Tamandua tetradactyla: one gene and its partners. The main gene of each other region encodes a partner of the protein of the gene in region 3 in a complex. Links are inferred from orthologs where the notes say so. Each region holds a gene or a part of one and is shown on either strand. Other genes may lie near its edges.

Region 1 (7,778 bases), on a different chromosome or scaffold from region 3:
AGACAAATCACAAAAAATGTAGAGATAAAGTTCATATGACAAAATGCCAACTGTGGTTGAATCTAAATGGTGGGGATAGGGTGTCCCCTTGGCTGTTCTTTCAGTGGTTCTACATCTTTGAAGTCTTTCATAATGAAAAGTCGGACAAACAATTCACACAGGTTTATATCCCGTTCTTTCTGAAGGCTATGGCCCCAGATGGAATGGCATTTTTTAGCAAAGGACTCAGCACATTAAAATTCTACTCAAACAACGAACTGTTTGAGAAAGCCCTGGGGTCCACTCTAATTAGATTTTGCCTGGTTAGTTACTTGTTTCTGCAAGAAAAGATAACCCATTCTTCTGCTTCTGGTTTATACTGGACTTATCCATGTTTGGGAATTCATATATTGAGGAAGGGAAAGATTGTATAATGAATATATTTTTTGCTGAAATATTTTTATTTAGAGCAAACAGGAATAACTATCTTTTAATTAGACTTTTTTTTTTACTGTAAAAACTTATTTTCTGGGGAAGAATTAGCTTTACTCAAAGGTCTGACCTTTGCCCTCAGCTACCTGGAGGCGATTCTGGTCCCCTGGAATGTCCTGCCTGATATGAGTGTCTTTGTTTGCCTGGGGGCTTTGGTCACCAAATAGTTGACCAATTATGATGGGGGTTTTAAGCCATATGAGCAGTTCTGACCTCTGGAGGAACTGGAGAGTTAAGCTGAAGGGGCTGGAGACTAAAGGTCAGCCATGCGGGCAGTATATGATTAAGCCCTGATAGAAACTCTGCAAACCAAGGCTCAGGCAAGCTCCCCTGGTTGGTGATACTCTAAGTGTATTGTCACACACAGTGGTCAGGAGAGGGTGACACAATCCAGGACTTCATGGGGAGTGGAAGACAGAAACTTTACGCTTGAACCCTTCCCAAAATTTGCTCTATGCATCTCTTGCCTGATTCTAATTCGTATTCTTCCCCCAAATAAAACTGTTATTGTAATTTTATCACTTTCCTGAGTTGGGTAAGTCCTTCTACTGAATCACCGAACCTGATGGTGGTCATGGGAACCCCTAAACTTGTAGCCAGCTGGTCTGACATGAAGGTTGTCTTGGGTGCCTGTGAACTTGCGGCTGGTATCTGGAGTGAGGGCAGTCTTGGGGGACTGTTCCCTGTGACTTTGCAGTTTGGCAAACTCACTGCAAGTTCAATGCAGAAAAACAGCCTGTTTCAAATGTTTTAAGGTATGTTGGTTTGAAACCGTTGTGTACCCCAAAAAGTTGTGTTCCTTAATCTTGATTCAATATTGCTGAATGGGATCTTTTTGATGAAGTTGTTTTCATGGAGATGTGACCCACCTAGTTATGGGTGGGCCCTTTTGATTAGGTGGTTTCCATGGAGATGCATCTCCACCCATTCAAGATGGGTCACTTACTGGAGTCCTTTACGTGGGAACCATTTTGGAAAAAGCTTCAAAGCTAACCCAGAGAAGTCTAGAGATACAGAAATAAAATGCCCCCAGGGGAAGTTGTTTAAAGAAGCTGGAAGAGAAAGCTAGCAGGCATCACCATGTGCCTTCCCAGCTGAGAGAAAAAAACCCTGAATGTCATCAGTCCTTTCTTTAGTCAAGGTATCTCTCCCTGGATGCCTTAGTTTGGACGTTTTATAGTGTTAGAACTGTAGATTTGCACTTTAATAAATTCCCCTTATAAGAGCTGTTTCATCTCTGGTTATCATATCCCAGCAGCATTAATAAACTAAATCATAAGGGATTACACTGCAGGTCACCTGGTTTCTTTACTATTTCAAGCTTTAAGCTCAGACATTCTGAATCTTTCTGAGAATCTAAAGCACTTTTCCAAACAGCATCCATAACAACTGGAACAGCTTCCGTAGGAAATGGCAAATGTGGCAAACAGCGATGCCCTAGGGTCCAGGGATTTGTAGCAGGTCTGCTGTGTGAAACTGAGAAGGTCAAAACTGCATGGGATCTCAGGTACCTTATGCGTAAATTGGGAATAACAACTATCCTACTTGGAGTGGAAGAGGGAGGAAAGAAGGTATGAGAGGATCCAATGATATTGTGTAAAAAAAGTTTTGGAAATAAAAACTTAGACCAAGGATCAATCAGCCATGGTCCACTGGCCAAAGAGAGCAGCTGCTTGTTTTTGTAAATGAAGTTTTATTGGAACACTGCCATGCCCATTTGTTTACATGTGGTCTATGGCTGCTTTTTTTTTTTTTTTAACATACCATACACCCACCAACCACCAGCATCTCAACCTAAGTTTATTTTAACATTTACTCCCCCATTATTCATTTTCATTCCATATGTTTTACTCGTCTGTTGATAAGGTGGATAAAAGGAGCATCAGACACAAGGTTTTCACAATCACACAGTCACACTGTGAAAGCTGTATCATTATACAATCATCTTCAAGAAACACAGCTACTGGAACACAGCTCTACATTTTCAGGTAGTTCCCTCCAGCCTCTCCATTACATCTTGACTAACAAGGTGATATCTATTTAATGTGTAAGAATAACCTCTAGCATAACCTCTCGACTCTGTTTGGACTCTCTCAGCCACTGACACTTTATTTTGTCTCATTTCACTCTCCCCGCTTTTGGTCAAGAAGGTTTTCTCAATCCCTCGATGCTGAGTCTCAGCTTATTCTAGGATTTCTGTCCCATGTTGCCAGGAAGGTCCACACCCCTGGGAGTCATGTCCCACGTAGACAGGGGGAGGGTGGTGAGTTTACTTGTTGTGTTGGCTGGAGAGACAGGCCACATCTGAGCAACAAAAGAGGTTCTCTTGGGGGTGATTCTTAGGACTAATTTTAAGTAGGCTTGGCCTATCCTTTGTGGGGTTAAGTTTCACTATGGCTGCTTTTGCATTAGAGTTGAGTAGTTACTATAGAAAAAAGGGTCTGCAAAGATGAAAATTTACTGTCTGGCCCTTTACAAAAAAAGAATTGCTGATCTTTGTCTTAGACCGCTGTGGACCTTTAGCAACCCACAAATGTGTGCTATCACTGAACCTCAGGGCCTTTGGAGAACTTGCCAGACAGACTGAACCTGTGGCTCAGAGGATAAAATGACGTGACTAAGGTCACACACATATAACGTGGAATTCTGGGTACACCACTGCCCACTCAGCTAAAAAACAATGGCAGGAAAGGGAATAGGGTAGAGGGGTTGTACTTGAGGACGGTAAAGCTATTTGGGCCCAGCCTCAAATCTCAATGGCTGATGCTGAGCAATCAATTTGTGCAGGAGATAATAGTGAGCCTCATCACAAATGCCGATTTTAGCTGAAACCTATCCATATCTATGGCAGCAAAATCTGGGAATGAGAAGCAAGAACCTAAAAAGTCCGAGAGAAGTCTCAACAGGTAGCCTCTAACTTCAACTCCTCTGCTGTCCAGATCCACTGCAGGGGTGAGAAAGGAGGGTGGTGGCTCACACTTATTAAAGCCTGCTGCGTGCAAGACACTTTTACAAGCTTATTTTATTTCATCTGATCCTCACGAATAACATAAAAAATACAGAATGTCCTCACTTAAAGCTGCAGACTGAGGTGTAGAGAGGTTAAGTGACTTGCTCAAGGTCACACAGTGGTGAAGCTGAGACTCGCCTAGGACTGCCTGACCCCGAATTCTTTGATTTTAATATTAGGCTACACAACACAGCTCATGGATAACGGGACCTCAGAAGGCACATGGCTGGTAAGGAGCCCTGAGCTGTGGTTCAAATCCACGGCCACCAGCCCGCAGGACTTACGGAGAGATTCTAGAACTGCACTTTTCAATCCAGTGCAAGTTTCCTGCTCTCAGGCGTTTTTTGGTTCCGTCCCATCACTCAGAACACCCTGAGGTCTTGAAGAATTGTACAGGGCTTTCTTCACATCCCTCCAAGACACCAGATTAAGACTCAGCCCCTTGGAGTTGGTAGGAGGTCATTAGCCGACCGGAGGTGGTCCTCAACCGCCCTCGCCGCCCACCCAGGGCGTCGTTAGTCCCGTCTGATCCCAGCAGAGGGCTCCACACCGGCTGCCGCCGGCCCACCGGGCGCCGCCTACCTGCCGCGGGGCCGTCAGAGTCCCGTCCACGTCGAAGAGGCAGAGCACTGGGCCGGGGTCCGCCATGTCTCCGGTCCCGTGACCACCTAAGAGGACTCGTTGGCACCAGGAACTCAACCCGGAACTTCCTGGTCCGGCCCACGTGCCGCAGGGCAAGCCGGGAGGCGGAGAATCTACTCCCACAATGCCTGGGGACTAGCAGCGACTACTTGGCTTTGGACCACAGCGACCAGAATGTAGTGCGCCTCGACGTTGTCGTTGCACGTATGCGCATGCGCCCTTAGAGGTCCGGAGGCAGGCGGGATTCACTTCCGGCAGCCGGCTGCGGGGCCATGGTAAAAACGCGAGTAATGGAATGAGGGAGGAATTGCGTTTTCCGGGGTTAGGGTAGAATTGGGGCGGACGGGCAGGACGCCCGAGTTTCTGACTCGGAGAATCCGCGGGAAGAAACTTCGGCGTGGGTTGCACTTAATTTTCTGGCTTCCTGTGCCCTCCATAGGTCACATGGGCTGATAATAGTGATGGCTAAAACTGACCGAGCGCTCACCTGTTCAAGCGCCGTGTTGAGGACTTTCAAATCATTTTATCTTTCACTTTGCTGTGAATCCCCATTTTTAAAGATGGGCAAATGGGCTCTCAGAGGTGTTGAGTAACTTGTCCAAGGAGATACAGCTAGTGACGGTTGGAGCCAGGTTGGGACCCAGATTGGGACCCAGATCTGGCTTCAAGGCCCGGGGCTCAGAGCTTTTTCCATTTTGTTCCACAAGGTGTAGAACTGCGCGCCTAGGATAATCTTTTCCCCTTCCCCTCTGCTGTTTTCCTCTCCTGAGCTAGGCTAAGGAGTTAGTTAGCAGTTAGTTGGTTAGGCACCCAAGCTAACGCATAAACCTGACAGAGAATTGAAAAGTTATTATCATAAGTATCTCACTGATTTCTTGCTCCAGTATCCTGATAGGACACTGATTGTTTACTGGGGAAGTGTCCACACAGCCTTGTGGATCCAGTGCTCAGCATAATGCCAGGCCCACAGTTGACCCTTATTAGTTATTTGTGGAATGAATGAAGGCTGGTCCCCCTTTTCTTACCTTTTTGGAACTGCCTGGAGGTAAGAGGAACGTTTTGAATGTCAGACCTGGCCTCCCTCACTAGCTGTCCATTTTGGGGCAAATTTTTTTTATCCTTTGTGGGTTTGGTTTCCTCAGTGGTAAAGTGGAAGTAGTGCTCTCTACTGCACATAGCTGGTGCAAAGGGCACTTGAGGTAGAGCATCTGGTTTTACCTTTCTCTTCATCTCTGGTGTCACTGATGACCTCAGGATGAGGGGGGAGTCTCTGTGTGAGAAGCCTTGCAGATTACTATGATGGAGTTCTGTAAGAGAAATGTTCTCCTTTCTCCCTTGCAGGCTGCCCTTCTCCGAGCTATACCCCGGTTGCGGGGACCAGCTGCGTGGGGAAGGCCTCTCTATGGGCTGTGGTGCTGCACTGAGCAGGATCCCAGGAGGTGCGTGGGGACCAGGTCACCCACCTCAGAGGAGAAACCACCAGACCCAGAGAAAGAGAAATTCCGTATGGTCTACCGGTTTGATGCCATCAGAGCCTTCGGGTATTTGTCTCGACTGAAGGTGGCACAGACAGCTCTGACAGTAGTGGCCCTGCCCCCAGGCTTCTACTGGTACTCCCAGGGCCTCATGACTCTCGACTCTTTGTGCCTTGTGGCTGGGATAGCTGGCTTTGCCCTGGCCATGTTGTGCTGGATGAGCTATTTCTTCCGAAGACTGGTGGGAATCCTGTATGTCAGTGAGTCGGGCACCATGCTGCGTGTAGCACACCTGAACTTCTGGGGGTGGCGGCAAGATACATACTGCCCTGTGGCTGATGTGATCCCCCTGACGGAAACCAGGGACCGGCCTCAGGATGCGTTCATGCGAATTCAGCAGTACAGTGGGAAACAGACCTTCTATCTCACCCTGCGCTATGGACGCATCCTGGACGAAGAGCGGTTCACACAGGTGTTTGGGGTCCTGGACACACTCAAGTGAATCCCTAGCTCTGGTCACCTAGATCTCTGAAGGGAAGACTGAGCGTACAGGGCAAGGCTGAAGAAGAGGATTGGACAGTTGGAGTCTTTGCCAGGACCCCTGGGAACTTGTCTTTTGGGAAGAGGAAATTCATGAGGCAGAAGCTAGTAATCAGGTTTAGAAAAAAGATCCTTAGTGCAGATTCTTAACTGCAATTTGTGTATATGACATTAAGTCAAATAATGACAGTTCATGGAGGAGGCTACGTCAGGTTCACCTGCATGGTACACAGTTGGGAAATTAGAAAACAGAGATGTGGCTGGGGGAGCCCAGGATTTGGAGTCTGAAGACTCCCAAGTTTTTCATTTCTCAGCTTTCTGTTGAGGGTAGGTTCTTGAATGTCTTTGAACATTGGTTTTCACATCCACAAAGTGGAGAGTCCTGCCTGTCTCCTGGGATGGGTATAAGGATAAACAGTAAATATCCGAATGCTTTGAAAACTCAGTGACCCTGAGCAAATACTAAGCTTTACGTCACAGTCCCAGACACTGCTCTGTTCTGAGGGTACCAGAGGTTCATAAAAGCCTTGGAGGTGTTTGTCGTTGAGTGTCTTGTGGCAGGACAGACATTAGACAAATAAACCTATGTTGTTACAAGTGGTGGCGAATGCAATGGGAGAGTGGGGTGGTTGGGGTGGGGAGGGGCATGGAAGGGACCTTAAATAGAGCCCTGAGATGGAAGTAAGAGGCAGGCACAGAGTTTGTTTCAGTCCAAGGAAACTGTGAGTATGAGCTGGGGAGAGCTGGGTGCATTTGCTGAGGAACAGAGAAGATGTGGAAGTGGAGCTAGGGAGGGAGGAAGAGCAAGGTCAGGAGACCTGCCTTGTTGGCAGGAGGGAAAGATTTTGAATTTTATCGATATCACAGTAGGAAGCCTTTGAAGGTCAGAGAAAGGAATTAAAACTTTTTTTTTTTAAGAACAAGAAATCACAGCTACTTTTAAAAAAAAATTTATTAATTAAAAAATTAAGAACAAAAACATTAAACATTAACATATAATTCTGTTCTACATATATATTCAGTAATTCTCAATATCATCACATAGTTGCATATTCATCATTTCTTAGAACATTTGCCTCAATTCAGAAAAATAAAAAGACAACAGAAAAAGAAAACAATAACAGAAAAAAAAATTATACATACCATATCCCTTACCCCTCATTTTCATTTATCACTAGCATTTCAAACTAAATTTATTTTAACATTTGTTCCCCCTATTATTTATTTTTATTCCAAATGTTCTACTCGTTTCTTGACAAGGTAGGTAAAAGGAGCATCAGAGACAAGGTTTTCACAATCACACAGTCACATTCACAGCTACTTTTAATGTTTATTCACCTTTACTTAAAGATACACATGAAGGGACTTAGGCTTACTGGTTTGTTTCAGTTGTTAAATTCCCTTTACACTTCAGTTCCTGCCAGTGGGAGAAAGGGCATGGTGGTTGGGGGAGGTATGAGTTTGTCCTTCATGCTTGGAGACACTGCGCACCCACTGCCAGTCTTTGTGCCCCAATAGTTTTCCTAGATAGAGGGGCCTGGAGGGGAGGACGAGTGGCATTTATACATTCTCAGCATACAGTGATTCTCACAAAGTGAGACCAAGAGCATGGCAGTGGGCCTAGAGAGCCCCAAATCCAT
Region 2 (7,989 bases), on a different chromosome or scaffold from region 3:
AGAACAAAGTCCAATCTCCATAGCTTAATATACAGAGGATCAATCCATCTCTATCACATTCTCCTTCACAGCCTCATTAGTTCTTCCTGAGGCCATGTGCAATGGGCTGCATTATAGGAAGATATTCTGGTACCCATGAGCATGCCAGATAAGAAAACAGCCTGGAACTAACTGGCCCTTGACTATGACCAAAGGGTATCTGTGACATGATACCCTGAGCTCAGGTACATGTAAGAACTCTCCAATTACAATGTTTGAAAATTGAATGGGATGTCTCATAGGCGCTGGGTTCAACTAGTAATTTTCAGTTTGTTTTTAAAGCATGGAAACTGTTTCTCAAACAACTCTAGCATAGAAAAAAATAATAATATAAAACAGATAAAAGCCAAGCTGCTCCAATTGAGGCTGGAGGTGGGGAGAAAGATCCCAATGGCCCACCCACTCAGTTTCCCACTGGTCTTGGCAGGAGCCCCAGGGGCAGTTCCGGGAAGAGCAAGTGTGGCAAATGCTGGCCTAGATGAGCTTAATGATCTCTTCCTATTCTGAGATTCTAAGCATTGCTGCCACTTTCCTGCTCAAATTCCGATAATACTGTGAGAGCTGAGGTTGGTGATTCTGGATATAAACTGCAGGAAGGGAAGACAGGATGTGTTGTCAGAGTAGATGTGGATATAAGAATAAGAGTTATAAGGATTCCCAGTGTTCAGTCTGAACAAGTAAAATAACAGTTGCCACTGTCTACAACAAGGAAGGTGGTGGAGTAGAGAGACCAGCAACTCAGTTTTGAATGTTAAACTTGAGACAACTATTAGGCATCTCTTATGGGCTGAAAGGTGTCCCCCCAACCCTTCCTTCCCAAAAATATGTTGATGTCCTAGTCCCTAGTCCCTCGGAATGGGACCTTATTTGGAAATAAAGTTGCTACAGATTAAGATAAAGTTATAATCAGAAATTAGAGCAACGATTCTGAATGGGATGAGATGGGGGGGTGGGATGAGGTAACAGAATGTGGAGTTATTGCTTAATGGGTGCAGAGCTTGTTTTGGGTGACAAAAGTGTTCTGGTAATGGGTGGTGCTGATGGTAGCACATGGGGAACTTAATCAAAGCCAGTGAAGTATACACTTCAATGGTTCACATGGGAAATTTTGAGTTGCATATATAATACCACAACAAAAAGGTTTAAAAATGATGAAAGATGAGGTCATAGTAGCGTTGGAAGGCTCCTAAACCAAAAGGACTGGTGATCTCAATAGGGTCTGACACAGGGGAGGTAGCCATGTGAGGATGGAAGCAGAGAGTAAAGTGCTGGAGCTGCAAGCCAAGAAACGTCAAAGACTACTGGCCAACACCAAGAGCTAGAAGAGGCAAGGGAGGAGTCTCCTCTACAGGTTCAGAGGGACCTTGCTTTCAGAACCAAGACAATAAATTGCTGGTGTTTTAAGCCACCAAGCTCGTGACAGGGGCCCTAAGAAACTAAGACAACATCTAAGTGGAGCTGTGGGGCAGAAAAGTAGACATAAAGTCTGGAGTTCAGCTCTGGGGCAGAAAAATAAATATAAAGTCTGAACTGAAGAAATAAACTCATAGCCCGAGCCTTAGAATATACCACTCTAACTGGGTATGTCAGAAAGAATGACGAATGTGTAGAGGTCAAGGAACTGAGAAAGAGACTGGGTAAGACCAGACTGAGGTAAAAAGAAGAACTGGGATAGAATGGTCTTTCAGAAGACAGGTGAAGAAAGTGCTTCAAAGAGGGTGGTGGGATGAACTGTCAGATGCCAATGATAGGGCAAGATTAGGACCGAGAAGAGACCATTAGATTTGATGATGTGCAGGCCACGACCAACTTTCAGGAGAGCAGTTTTAGAAGAGTGTTAATGACAAAAGCCTGAGATGAAGTAGAGAAGGAAACACTGATGATGCAGATGACAAAAGACAGAGTAAGTGAATCAGATCCTTGAAAAGGTGAGAAGGCATGAGGTCTAGTGATGAGGCTGGGCTTTGGGAGTTGAGAGTTCATTCACAGTCATAGGAAGAAAGTAGAAGAAATAGGTATAAATGTGGGGAGGAGAGGGTATATGTGATGATGAAAGTTCTCCTTGACTGCAGGTATTTTCTTAGTGAAGCAGGAAGCAAACTTGACCGCTGAGAGTAAGGATGGGAGAGTCGGCACCAGAGGTTCAAAAACCTGAAGGAAGAAAAGCTTGTGTCCTTTCCTGGCCATGCTGTTTAGAGGCATAGGTCCCAGGAGACAGCACAACACAGCCTCACATTCAGGGTGAAAAAAAAAAGGTTTCCCAAACTTTAAAGACTTAGATCTGCACTCACTGACAGGAAAACCCACTCTCAGTCTGTCTCAGCTTCTACACCTGTACGGCTGGTATAAAAGGGTCAGCCTAACAATCGCAGAGGAATGTTCTAATGAGAAAGGAACTGACTCCTTAAGCCATACAGCAGCAGTCAACTTTTTGCTAAGCCTTGCTCAAAGCACTTCACAAAAGTTTTTTCTTTGGACTGCACAGCACCTTTAGCTGAGGATGAATTATGTTTATACTCCTATCCTGTAGAAGAGCCCACTGAGGCACAGGGACCTAAGTGAGTACCTGAAAGTTACACAAATAAGCACTGACGCCAGCATTAACAATTCTGCTGCCTCTTACCTCTACCCAGTACCTTCCTGCTTAGAAAACAGTTCCAGATACCACTGTGAGGTAGAAGCATGACTAGATGCATTTTAAGGTTGAAGAACTAAGGCCCCCCAAGTCATAGAGCCGAGGTCAATTTCAAGTCTTCAAACAACAAGAGGATGGAAAGTGCTTAATAACCAAACCGCTGCTATTGACTGTGACCGCGGAAGGGATGGCGAGAAGAAGGCACCTTGGAGCCAGGTTCTTCGGCAGCCTGAATGGTAGGTTCCGGAGCCGGGACTCAGCTCTGAAACCTAAGAGCAGTTGGAAGCCCACGAGGAGCGGCAGGGTCTGCGCTGTTTAGAAATCAGAGAAATCTCGCACATTTTGGGGCTAAGACAACCCAGTTGAGCTCTGCTTGGCGATCACCTAGAATAGGGTTTCCCAAATTAACCTGACAGGAATTAGCTGGAATAGCTGTCAAAATCATGGTTTCTCCAGGCCCCTTTCTCTGGAAAGGCTGGAGTGGGACTCGTAACACGCCCCGCCCCCAGGTGATTCCAGTTAGGCAGATTTGGGGACACTGACAAAGCTCGACACCTGTTTTGCTTGCTAGGGCCGAAAGGTGGGAGCCGGGGAGCAAGGGTCAGCTCGGGCCTGGCGTTACCTTCTCGATTTTGCCCAGGAAGAGCTCCTTGGCGAAAGCTCCGCTCGGAGGGCTGGTGCGCAGCGTGCGTCGGCTCGCCGGGAAGGCGGCCAGAGCCCGGCAGGAACGCGCCGCCGAGCGCAAAAATAGCACGCAGACGCTCATGCTGCCTCCAACTCCTTAAGCCGCCGGGTCCGCCGCCGCCACTTTTCAGCATCAGCAGTCTAGTGCACCTGACTCGCGTAGCCCGATGACGCCACTCGACTGCGACGCCCCCCCCCAACATTGCGCTTGCGCTACCTCCCGCGGACTGCCGGCTGGAGGGGGCGGATCCGGGGGCGGGCCCGGGGGACGGGAAGGGGCGGGGCCGGCACCGGCCCGGGCGCCATGTTGGCGGCCTTGACCTCCGGTGGGTGGTGCATGCGAGGTAGGTTATATCTTCCAATGGCAGTCCTCTCCAGGAACAGATTGGTCTTCTTTCTTTAATCTCTCATTGTGCGTGTACCATGACTGTAGCATTTACCACAGTATTGGAAAATATTTTCCGGCTCCATTATATGAACTTGAGAACAGTAGGAAATCTCGTTCATGTCAACATGCTTTAACCCCCTCCTTGAGCGAGTCTCAATAAAAAGTTGAATTAATTGCGTTAAAGACCTGATGACCCAACGTCAGAAAGATAAGAACCCAAAGACTTATTTGGTTAAAAAATATTTGCAAAAAAATTGTACTTTGGGTAGGGTGTTGCCTAATTTGACTTGTGTGGTCAGTTCAGTTGAACACCATAAACTTGAATAAGACAGGAGATCTTGTTGGTTTGTACAGGTTGGTGTAAAGCCTGGATATATCCCCGAGTAATCTGGGCAGAGAATGAAGAAGTGTTTGTGGGGGCTGTGGAGGGCCAGGAGCAATAAATCAGGCCGGAGCAAGGAAAGTCCCCAAAAATCTGGGGCGAAATGTCCCCAAGAGTTAAACAATGACCAATGTTAGGAAACTGAGGGAACAGGATGTGTTTTGGCAACAGTTAATGGCATTTTTCTGCTTCTGTAATTACACTTGCTTGCTAGCACCTGCAAACCACAACATGATTTTAGCCTTTATAAGCTCACCTTGAAAACCTCTGGGAGCTGCTCTCTGAATCATCCTTCTTGAAGGTTTCTGAGGCAGTGGCCAGCAGGTTAATAAAGACTCCCAATTGGCTTGCAGTTTTGAATTGTGTGGTCTGTCTTTCAGTGCGCCCCACAACATTTGGAGGCCCCAGCAAGATTATCCCTAACAGGACATCTGGTGACCACCGGTCCTGGATCGCCCCTGGAACCAAGGTCCAGCATAGGGGAAGGCCTCGGAGAGACGTTCCTCCACCCCAGGCAAGGACCAGGGACCAGGCCGGTTCTACAGGACTCTCCTAAATTATAGAAAATCTGGTGGAGTCATCTGTTTTTGGAAACCTCACCGGTGAGTACAGGTCTGTTATTGGATCCAGTGAGGACCTCTGGAGGGCTGAATGCAGCATTACTTCTGAGGTCCAGTCCTGGAGCAAGACATTGCCCAGGACTATGGGTTAGGAATTAGTTAGGGATAGCTCTTTGCTTATTTTGATTTGTTTTGTCCCTCCTCCCAATTGTTGGTCTCATCGCATTCTGTGTCGTTCTTGTCTTAATTGCCGTGGGTCAGTCAAGTTCATCTGTCTGTACTCCCCTTCAATGTTTTTTTAAAAATTTTCAGGAATTTCAGCCGAAGGCCAGAGACTACAGAGCCCCTGTCAATACCTTTGACTTGGAAAAATTCTGTTCATGGGAGTAGCCAACTTTTGGTACTGGGTGGCCTCCTGAGGGAACCACAGATCTATCTGTGGCTTATAAAGTCCAAAGGGCGATTTTTGGTAATCCAGGCCACACTGACCAAATCCCCTGTATGGTAATTTGGATTGAAATCTTTACAGAAAAACCCAAGTGGTTACAGTCCTGCATGGAGACCCAAAAAGGAAAACCCCCCAAAGCCAAACGGCCCTCTTAATAAAATTCTCTCAGAAAGAAAAAAAACTAATGGGATCCCAGTATTGACAGGACCCTTGGAGGATCTGCTCTCGATGGACCCTCCCCCATACCCAACAGCCCTTCCGCCCCCTCTAAGACCAGAGGGGAGGAAAGGTCAAGAGGTGGCAACCAGCCCCTCTGATAGCCAGGAGGTGACCTTCAGTCCCCCCCATACCAGAAGTGGTTCTGCTTACCACCCTTCTTCTGGTTCACAATCACCGGATTCTTCTGGAGCTCCAATTTTACCCTTGAGGCAGGTTGGCCCTGCCCTGGGGGATGACCGTCCACCTTTCATGGTCTATGTCCCCTTTTCCTCTAGCGATCTGTGTAATTGGAAAAACCAGAATCCCTCTTTCTCTGAAGAGCCGCAAGGGCTCATCTCCCTCTTGGAGACTGTCTTTTTGACGCACCAGCCCACCTGGGATGACTGCCAACAGCTCCCCCAGGCCCTCTTCACCTCCGAAGAATGAGACTGGGTCAGGAGAGAGGCGAGGGAGTTAATTCTTGGACCTGATGGACAACCTACTACTGAATCAACCCGATTAGAGGCTATGTTCCCCTCCACCTGTCCCAGACAGGACCCCAACACTGAGAGAGGTAAGGAGGCTCTTGATCGATATCACTGGACTCTGCTCTGGGGAATACAAGTGGCGGCCAAGAAGCCAACCAACTTATCTCAGGTAAGTGAAACCGTACAAAAGCCTGATGAATCTCCGGCCGCTTTCCTTGATCTCCTCCTTGAGTCATACCACTTGTACACCCCTATAGATCCAGAGGCACCCAAAAATAGGCGAGCTGTAAATATAGCATTTGTCACCCAGTCGACCCCAGATATAAGAAAAAAGTTACAGAAATTAGAAGGATTTGAGGGTAAAGTGCTATCCGAACTGATAGAGAGTGCCCGCAAGACTTTTAATGACAGAGATAACCCCGGAACCACGCAGTCCCAAAAAAAAATAGCCAAAATTTTAATATCCGTGATGGCTGAACAGGAAAAACAAAAAGGTAGGGTACACAGGTAGTTTAGTGGTTAGAATGCCCGCCTTTCATGTGGGAGACCCGAGTTCGATTCCTGGACCACGCACGCACGCACGCGCGCACACACACACACACACACCCCAAAAAAGGAAAAACAAAAAGGTAGACAAGAAACCATTGAAAAAAGAAAGGGAAACCAAGGAAAAGGTTGGGCCTACTAATGTGCCTACTGCAAAGAGAATGGACATCAGAAAAATGAATGCCCTAAAAGAGAAATTAAAGGACTGAAACCAGCCCCTGTTCTAATTGGAGAGGTGAATTGATGGGGACAGCGCTCCTTTCCATTGAGCCCCCGGGAGCCCAAGTTCACCTTAGAAATCTGGGGCAAGCCTATAAAATTTCTTGTGGAAATACTCGGGCGACCTTCTCCATCCTCCAGCAAGCAGAAGGGCCCAGATCTAAGGAAAAAATCCCCATACAGGGAGCAACGGGAAAGACAATGTCTTACCCATGGACGAAGACAAGGATCACTGACCTTGGGGAAGGAACTGTCACCTACTCGTTTCTTGTAATGCCAGAGTGTCCATACCCCCTTTTGGGGAGAGACCTTCTCCAGAAATTACAAGCCACCATCTCTTTCAAAAATGATTCGGCCGAGCTCTCCTTCAATATAAAACCCTCGGCAATCTTCCTCACTTGCCCCTTATTGGATATTCACTTACTGCAGAAGTGGTGCTGTTGGCCCCAGGCCCATATTTGCGGGAATTTAAAGAAAAAATACCAGGCATATGGGCAGAAACTAACCTACCAAGATTAGCCACCCACTGGCCTCCCATTGTTGTCCAGCTGACTAGCACCACCACCCCAATCAGAGTCCGACAGTACCCAATAAGCTTAAAGCCTAAAAAAGGCATTGCAGTCCATATCAAAAGACTCAGAGGCAGGTATTCTAGTCCCCTTCCATTCGGCCTGGAACACCCCCCTTCTCCCAGTCCAAAAAACCCGGGACTGACGATTTCCGGCCAGTGCAAGATTTCCAAGAGGTAAACAAAAAAATTGAAACCATTCACCCCACTGTGCCTAACCCATATACACTCTTGAGCCTGTTACCTCTCAGCCAGCAGGTCTACACTGTTCTGGACTTAAAGGATGCCTTCATTTCACTTCCCCTGGCCGTGGTAAGTCAACCCATCTTTGCTTTTGAATGGACTGACCCAGAGTGGGGGTTCTCTGGACAACTAACCTGGACTCGGTTGCCTCAGGGTTTCAAAAATTCTCCCACCCTGTTCAATGAGGTTTTAAGCCAGGATCTGGCTCGTTTTAGACAAGAGCATCCAGAGATAACTCTCCTACAATATGTGGATGACCTCTTACTGGCAGCTAATAACCTGTCAGACTGCAAAAAGGCAACTGAAAACTTGTTACAGGAACTAGCCCAGTTGGGCTATTGGGTCTCAGCCAAAAAAGCCCAACTCTGCACCAGTTCAGCAACATGCTTAGGGTATGAATTAGAAGGGGGAAAAAGAGCTCTGTCTTCTAAAAGGATTGAAGCTATCCTAAAAATACCCTAACCAAAAATGAAAAGGCAGGTACGGGAATTCTTAGGGGCAGTTGGATATTGCTGGCTCTGGATTCCCGGGTTTGCAGAGATAGCAAAACCCCTATACACTAGCACAGGGGGAAAGGAGGAAGCTCTACCT
Region 3 (7,877 bases):
AGAACACTGATCCATATATATTTAAGGTCCTACTAGGTAAAACAAAGAGAAAAGTTAAATTCATCACAGTATTTTCTTAATAAAAGCAGTAATTTGTTATTATATATTTATTTAACATCAAATATTGCTTAAGCCCTTATTATATGTCAAGTATTTTCTAAGTGCTCAGGATGGGGCAGTGAACAAAGCAAGAAAAAAAAATCCAAGCCCTCATAACTTGCATTCTAATAAGAAGATATAAATCTCTTTCTAAGATTATTTAAGGTCATTCTAAAATGAAACCCTTCTAAATTTTGGCCACAAATAAATATAACTAACAGTCTGGCCAAATGTTATATGATACCAAAATCCAAGACTACAGCTCCTGCTACTAAAATAATTAATTTGCTTAAGGTGATCTGAAAAAAGCCTATGTTTGGTTAGGCCTTCTAGAAAATAACTATTTCCTAAGTAATACAGATACACTGAAAATATTTTGTCCAGGATTCCCAAAACTTCATCCAAAGAGAGCGGACAGATTATTTTACTAATACTAACTTATATTGAAATCCAGAAACTTCTAAGGTCTAAGATCAGCTGTCTTCTGATTTTATTCTTGAGCTTTCTTAATCCAATAGTCAGTGTGGTATGAGAGACATTATATGTGTATCATTTGTTGTGCTGAGTACTGAGGTTGAGTAACCAGTCCTGAACTGATTTTAATAACAAATCAGTGAAATATAAGTAGTCCCAAATGGTTTTTCTCCTTTTATTTTTTTCTAGATTAAAAAGAAAATTTAATATTTATTTAGGTCCCTTTACATCTAGATCTCAAAATGCCATGGTGTCTTTTATTTTGAAAACCATTTGTTTTTAATAAGACTTGAATTTTGGACAGGTGTTAGACCATCTGGAAAATTCTCTGGAACCTCCAGGTATCATATAACACACTCATAAGAACCTACCTTCTAAGGAAATCTATGCTTATTTAACATCCCTTTACAATTGTTAACTTATTTTTAATTAAAAATTTTTTTTTGCACAAATGGTTTTAGCAATAATTTTGGGAACTTTTTAAGAGGCAAAAGTCATCATTGACAATTCCAATTTACAGCCAACTACTATTTTCATTTGTCCATGTTTTCCTTCAATTCTTTTTTTATAAGCTTTCTTCAGAACCAGTGAAGCTAAGAGTATCTTAGTCCTCACAAACAGCAGTACAGAAGATTTGTAAATGAAGCTATTGACTTTCAGTCTGGGTATCTCTTACTTTTCTTTTCTAAGATATTCAATTTTTTTTTCTATCATTTCAATAACTGTTGATCGTCTGAGTGTTGCATCTCCTTGAGAAGGACTGGGCTGCTGATGCATATATGTTGCTGTCTTGATGTCCTAGAAAACACAAATTTCAGAACCATAATAGCTAATGATATCAATATTAATTACAACCCTATAGATTTTACAGATTTTGTTTTAAAAACATTTAGAGACTAGTAATGTGCCAGGTACTATGCTATCTGCTTTCACATACTTTATGTTAATGATTTTAATCAATATTTACTGAGCTCTTATCTGGCATTTACTGCAAATTCCACATTTGTGGTTGTAAATGTTTACTTACCACATCAGTAAGTGGAAGGGCTCCTGATGGAAAGTTCAATGCTTTTTCTCTCCCTATCTCCTCCAGATTAGTCCTTTCATGAATTTACAGCAATCTCCATTTTAACAACTTTTATAGTCAAGAATATATACTAATCCTCAAATTTCAAGAGTTTTGGGCAAAAGGATTAAAGTGGATTAAACATAATGAACATAGGAAATAATAAATCAGTGGTTCTCAAGCTTTAGTGTGCACAAGAATCACTAACAGGAGTTTGTATGAAATGCAGTCTCTTGAGCTCCCTCCTGAGATATCTGGATTCAGTATGAGTGGGGTGAGGCCTAGAAATCTGCATCTTAACAGCATTGCAAATGTTTCTGATACTGGTTGTCAATGAATATACTTTGAACATCACTACAATACACATTTGCTGAATGAATGATCAATACCAATCCTAACCCTAACTAATGAAGGATAAGTCATCCTTGGCCCATGGCATTAACATTCTGAAGATACAGGTTCCTGTGAACCTTCTTATGGTATTGCACAGTAAGTAATAATGGCCAATTTTTACCCACAAATCCTTGCAGAGTTGTACTCAGGTTAGTTATTTTTCTTTAAAATATCTGGGAAGGAAAGGGAAAAAAGTTTTTACAAATGACAATTTCTCAGATACTAGACTTAATCTTTTGCATCTCTCTGACATGTGAGTGGAAAATGTAAGGGAAAAGATAGTAATATCTAACGGAAGGTCTATATCTAACAGGTTTAATGCATGATGAAGGCAAATGTCAAGAACATGATTAACCAAAAACCTTGGATAAGTTTTTGTTTTGCTGTCATTCGCATTATTGATACCCCCAATCCCCACAGAAATAACTTCCAGGCAATGCCCTGTACCAATCTCCTATCCAGCCTACACCCTCAGCTCTGCACAGGGAAAACAGAATTGTGATCATAAAATACTGAAACAGGCTGGCACATATTTATTAAGTACCTAACCTTTGCAAGACACTGCCAATATAAATGACCGATTCTTTTCATTACACTCTGCTTATTAAAGCAGAGAAGTAGACTGGTCAACTTTCAGAAAGACTTTTTACAAATACTGAAATGTAAAGGTTGTGCTCTAGCCAACATTCTATCTAAACACTAGTTCAAGCCACTCAACTGGCAACAACCAGTAAAAATGCATTTACGTAGGATTAGAGTTTGTAGAGCATTTTACGTTTTAAGTGTTATTATGTATATTATTCCACCTGACTTCCGGAATTTTATTCATCATTAATCATCACCTGGGATATGATAGGCCCCTGGGTAATCAAGATAAAGTCGTGTAGTCAGGATCCAAAGCCTAGTGGGAGGTCAAGACAAAATAAGCAGGTAATTTGAAAGGAGAATGAAGGTGACATACACACACCAACTTTAAAAAAGGCATACTTAAATCTAGCCAAAAATGTTGGGAACCTACCTGGAGGAACTGACATTTAAGCGAAGATCTGAAAGAGGAGAATTAAGCGCGGATGGGGAGAGACAGGAGCAAGTGAGTATTCCAAGCTGAAGGAAAGGCCCGTGCAACGGTCCAGAGACAAGAGAAAACAAGTTGCCTACGATCAGGACTAGACTTCAGGGCTCCTATTATCTCTCTAATCCTTCCCATACTGACTGGGGGCTTAATCGAAAGTTGTTCTTTTTGCTTTTCAAATGCCCTTTATGTGCATTATCCCAGAGGAGACCCCCAACATGTTGAGGCTCTAGATATATCACTCTGTTGCCGCCTACCTTGAGCGCTTCTCCAGCTCTCACCGGCATCACACCTACATCCCTTAACTCGGAACCAACCTCACGGCCGAGCACCGCCATCTTGGCGGCTCACGTGAGCCCGGGTGGGCGGGGCTCTAGAATGCCGGGGAGGGGGTAAGTGGCGCCTGCTCTCCCGCCTCGTCCGCCGCCCAGGCTCACTCTACCCAATCAAAAGCTGCGCTCACCATCCTGGCTGTGATTGGTCGTGGCGTCCAGAAATTACGGTTATCATTGGCTTCGCGGAGGAGCAGACGGGTCTGTTCTTGGGTCTCCCAGTATTTGCTTCCTCAGCTATTGGTCAGTCTCACTCCCTGTTCTCCTCCTACCCGGGGCGGAAAATGGGGCGTTCCAAGCTTAGGGATGGTGCTGCGCGCCTTCCTCGCCTCAGGGCAGCCCCCTAGATTGGAGCCGTGCCTGTCCTTGCTCCCAGAAGGAGTTCGCCTTCTCTGGCCTGGCTCTAGTGTTAAGGCTCCGGCTCCTCCGTTACCTCCTCTCCAAAGATCCGAATCAGCCGCCAGCGTCGCCAGACACCCCTGACTAGCCTCCTCCCCTCGTAGCTGCCAGACTCCTCTTCCCAATCTTTAGTCCCTTCATTCCATCCTTTCGCTCTGCTTGGAAAGGGACTGGAGAGAAATGTGTCCCACGCCTCCCTCCCACCCAGTAGACTCCCCTGTCAGCCGGTGGTTGGGGGTGGGGTGGGCGCTGTGCGATGAGGTCCAGCGTTCTTTTGTGCTCGTTAAATACCCAGCAGTATCTCTCAGACCAGCAACCCCGACCCCTCCAGTCTCCATGTCTTAGGGAAGCCAAGTTCGAGAGTTATATAATATCTAATGCTGCTGTTTCTCCTGCCTGAGGAAACACTTCATCGCCTGGAGGGTGCAGGACATTTCAGTGCTCTTCTGCATAAGAACCGGGTGTGGGCAGGGGTGGCAGCATTGGCAGAGAGATTTCTTGTCTTTTCTGCGAAAGGAAGGTGGGCAGTTTGGAGAGAGGCTGAGAGAAAGAGTGGATGCGAAGCCAAGCGGCTGAACTCTTTATTTAGAAAATCGCGGACCGTTTGCATAGCTTATGTTTACATGCCTACCGCTACTACAGCGTCTCTGAAAACGCCTTTGGGGGAAAGGTTTGCCTTTTCCTCTGGAACAGTCTCAGTGTTTTTTTTTTTCTCGCCGGATAGGTAGCTGCTTGGATGTGAAAAGGTGGCATGATGTGAATGACTCCAGTGTGAAGAAACCTGCTTCGCCAACTCATCCTGCATCAAAGTGCCCATTGAGTAGCACTGCCACTTTAATGTCTCCATGCCAAGGGATTGCTGTCCATCTTCTCAATCCTCTCGGTTAATATATGGGAGGATCGGAATCAGAGAGGCACTAGAGAACGAGCCTGGGGGGGGCTTGGAGAGGCCAGAAGATAAAGATGAAAATGACAGCGAGCACGATCCTGTCTGACTGAGGGAGTGAGATCCGAACTTCTGGTCCAGTAAATAGAAAGGGGCCTTTCAAGTCTGTTTTTGCCCCCAGAGGACTGTTCAAACTCACCCACCTTTTTAGAGACTTTTGAGTTTTTTGTTTTGGTGAGGGGGAGGGGGCAGTTACTTTTTTCTCTTAAGGAACTGAACATCTTTATAATCAACCAGTGCATTTTTGAACTTGATCATGTATAGAGTAATGAGACAGCTGTCCAAATTTGGTTTGTGCCTTGAGTTAGTCACTGAACTTCCAAAAATGTTGCTGCCTGAAGGAGAGTTTTAATTACATTTCTATGCCACAATAATTTTCTCAGTTTTTTAAAACAATATTTTATAAAAATTGAAAAACTTGAAAAACTCAAAAGTTAGTTTTCTCTGTGCTCTGTGGGAGATGTCAAAAATTTAATTGTGGAAAAAAATACATTATTGTCTTTACCTGAAATAAAAGGCTCAGCGTGGATTTCAAAACTGAACAGTGAAGTGGTTTGCAACAGTTACCTGGTTTTGGCCTCAATCCGCTGGATCAAGCTGAGACCTGAAGAGATCTTGAATCCTGTGGCAGCGGAAAGACCCAACAATGCCAGTCAAGAGGAAAGGTGGGCTATGAGGCTTCCTATATAATACTTGTTTCTCCCTTTTCTTGGGGGCTCTGGTATTTGTAATTTTGAATTGTATTCCATCAGAAGGTAAAATTTTGCTTGGGTTTTATGAAATATTTATTGTAATTAGGCTTATTCAGTGGTACAACATTCAGTAATATTTTGCTAGAGCAAAATGAAATATGACTATAGTATTAAATTGATATTTGCGATTTCATAAATCAGGTTTTCTAAATCACCAATTTATAACAAGAATAGAAAGATTCAATGTCAAGGATTTAGGATTTTCTATAACTTGTTTTCTTTGCATGTTAAAGGTTATTTTTAAACAATCTTTAGAAAGGAAACTTGTACAGTGAAATTCTTTTCCATGATTTAATATTTATCAAACTATGTAGTTGTGAAAAATAGCAAAGTAATTTCATTTCCACTGAACAACTTACAGATTTATAATTTATCTTCTGACTTTTTTAAAAAGAAAATTTTGTATTTTGGTTTCATGCCAATACAAATCTCCACTTTTGTGATAAAGCACAACTTTGCTATCTGTTGTGCTTTTCCAGATACCTCCAAATGCACTATCCAATAAAATGATTGTTAAGTACCCCAAATGATGCAAACACCTAGCTTTTTTTTTCTCCCAATTTTTATAGCATGGAATGGATCAAGTTCTAATGGGTTCCTGCAATTTAGTCTATTAAAGGTGAGACCTTAGGGATTCAGGTTAACCTACATCTACCCCATGTTAACATTGTTCCCAAGTTTTCTAATGAAACCAGTTTGATTTTTTTTTTATGTGATATGGAAGATCAGATCAACTATAAAGAATTTTCTCAAGAGTTCTGAAACAAAATTTATGTGAACATTCTTGAACTCTACTATATTGTACCAGCATAAATCCAAATGTTGGCCAGTTATATCATTTGCTGCATTCCGAAACTAATCCTCTGGGTGAATTGTAGGTCAGAGTGCCTGGGTCCTGAGGCAGTGACCCAAGGTTGTACAACCTTGCTTTGCACAGTGTTTAATCCTTTTACCATGTGTTTGGAAGGTGCGTTGAAGAAATTGTAATGAATGAAATGTTTCATGCAAGATAGTATTTGTAAAGGTGGGACATGATATATTAAACTTGGAATCACCTAGAACTGTCCCTTTGTACACCAGTATTTAAGACTGGGTTATCAACTTCCTTTCTCCCTCCTGTTATCACTGAGAGAAGTAGACTTTCTCTGAGATCTTGGAGCCACACCTGCTCAGACCTGACCCAGTAGTTTATCTGGAAAAAGACTGGCTTTTTGTTTTTTTGGAACGTAGCCAATAAATGATATGGCTCTTTGACTTATTTAGCTTGCTGTGTCCTTTTATTCTTTCTACCATTTATAGTTCTCTAGAGAGTGTCTCTTTTAAAACTACCTTATTTTGAACTAGTGATTGAATTAGATACGTTGTGTGTGAGAGAGAGAGGAGAGGAGAAGGAAAACGGGAGAGAGAAAGAGAGCAGGAAGGGGAGAAAGCAAATGAAGGAGGAGGGGAGACAGAGAGGGAAGGAGAGATAAAAGCATGTGTGTGGGAATGAGGAAGGTAGTTGATGTTCTAGGTATAACTTAAAGGATGAATTTTTTAAGAATTCTAAAGCCAACAGACTAAATTTTTTCTTAAAAGTTCCTACCTTTAAAAGAACTGTTAAACCATTGCTGATAAATTATTGAAGATTATAATACTTTATAGAAAATAATTTGATGTTATTTTCTCCCTCCCTCCTGCCTTCCCTTTTTCTCTTCATATTTCTTTGATAATAGGTTGATTGTAATGGATCAGATTTTTTAGGGAATTGGCAAGTTCTAACTAGCAAAACTATATGTGTTGGCTTATCCTAAAGTATTGGCACTATGTAATTTATTTTCTGAACTAATCTAGTTAAAGAAACAATTTATCTTGTTTTTAACTTCTTAAAACTGTTAGTATTAAGATGTATGTTTTTGAATACTATAGATAATTAACCAAACAAGTTATTACATGAGCATCTTATTTTTAATTGGTTAAGCTTACTATTTGTACTCCTGTAATATAAGTAAAAACAAATACTATGAATAGTACAGCTTAGGTTTATTCTGTAAGGAACACTGCCGTCATTTTGACTCTTTTCTCTCTTCATTGTTAAATATTGTAGATATGATGGAAGATCTAGACTTAATATAATTTTAAAGCACATTAAGCTAAATGTTTGTTGTTAAATATATTATTAAAATATGTAATTTTCATAAGAGATTTTCATTTGGTATTTATTGTGTATATTGTCAAAGTAGAGAGGAGACTGATAAGATGCAACCATCCTAGGAAGTGGAAATAGGTGTGACATCTTGGTAAGTCTATTTCCATGTACTATTCTTAATTGCTCTTAGAAAAGATGAAACTTTTCTTAATTGCT

What was found. Proteins that work in one complex are often made in the same cells at the same time.
Region 1: TMEM126B (region 3) and TMEM186 share a complex: the UniProt entries of both Homo sapiens proteins name them as parts of the mitochondrial complex. The link is inferred for Tamandua tetradactyla from reciprocal best matches to the Homo sapiens genes TMEM126B and TMEM186.
Region 2: TMEM126B (region 3) and ACAD9 share a complex: the UniProt entries of both Homo sapiens proteins name them as parts of the mitochondrial complex. The link is inferred for Tamandua tetradactyla from reciprocal best matches to the Homo sapiens genes TMEM126B and ACAD9.

What each region holds. Positions count from the first base shown.
Region 1 is NC_135349.1:48,649,736-48,657,513, forward strand, and holds TMEM186 (transmembrane protein 186), read left to right. Parts: upstream 1-4,356; 5' UTR 4,357-4,395; coding exon 4,396-4,398; intron 4,399-5,464; coding exon 5,465-6,100; 3' UTR 6,101-6,735; downstream 6,736-7,778. Other genes in the region: PMM2 (phosphomannomutase 2), read right to left, coding at 4,064-4,129. UniProt on the Homo sapiens protein: As part of the MCIA complex, required for efficient assembly of the mitochondrial complex I.
Region 2 is NC_135335.1:32,578,442-32,586,430, forward strand, and holds the start of ACAD9 (complex I assembly factor ACAD9, mitochondrial), read right to left. Parts: upstream 3,544-7,989; 5' UTR 3,441-3,543; coding exon 3,297-3,440; intron 1-3,296. UniProt on the Homo sapiens protein: As part of the MCIA complex, primarily participates in the assembly of the mitochondrial complex I and therefore plays a role in oxidative phosphorylation.
Region 3 is NC_135334.1:58,850,256-58,858,132, forward strand, and holds the start of TMEM126B (complex I assembly factor TMEM126B, mitochondrial), read right to left. Parts: upstream 3,493-7,877; 5' UTR 3,443-3,492; coding exon 3,362-3,442; intron 1,372-3,361; coding exon 1,250-1,371; intron 33-1,249; coding exon 1-32. Other genes in the region: DLG2 (disks large homolog 2), read left to right, coding at 5,428-5,446. UniProt on the Homo sapiens protein: As part of the MCIA complex, involved in the assembly of the mitochondrial complex I. Participates in constructing the membrane arm of complex I.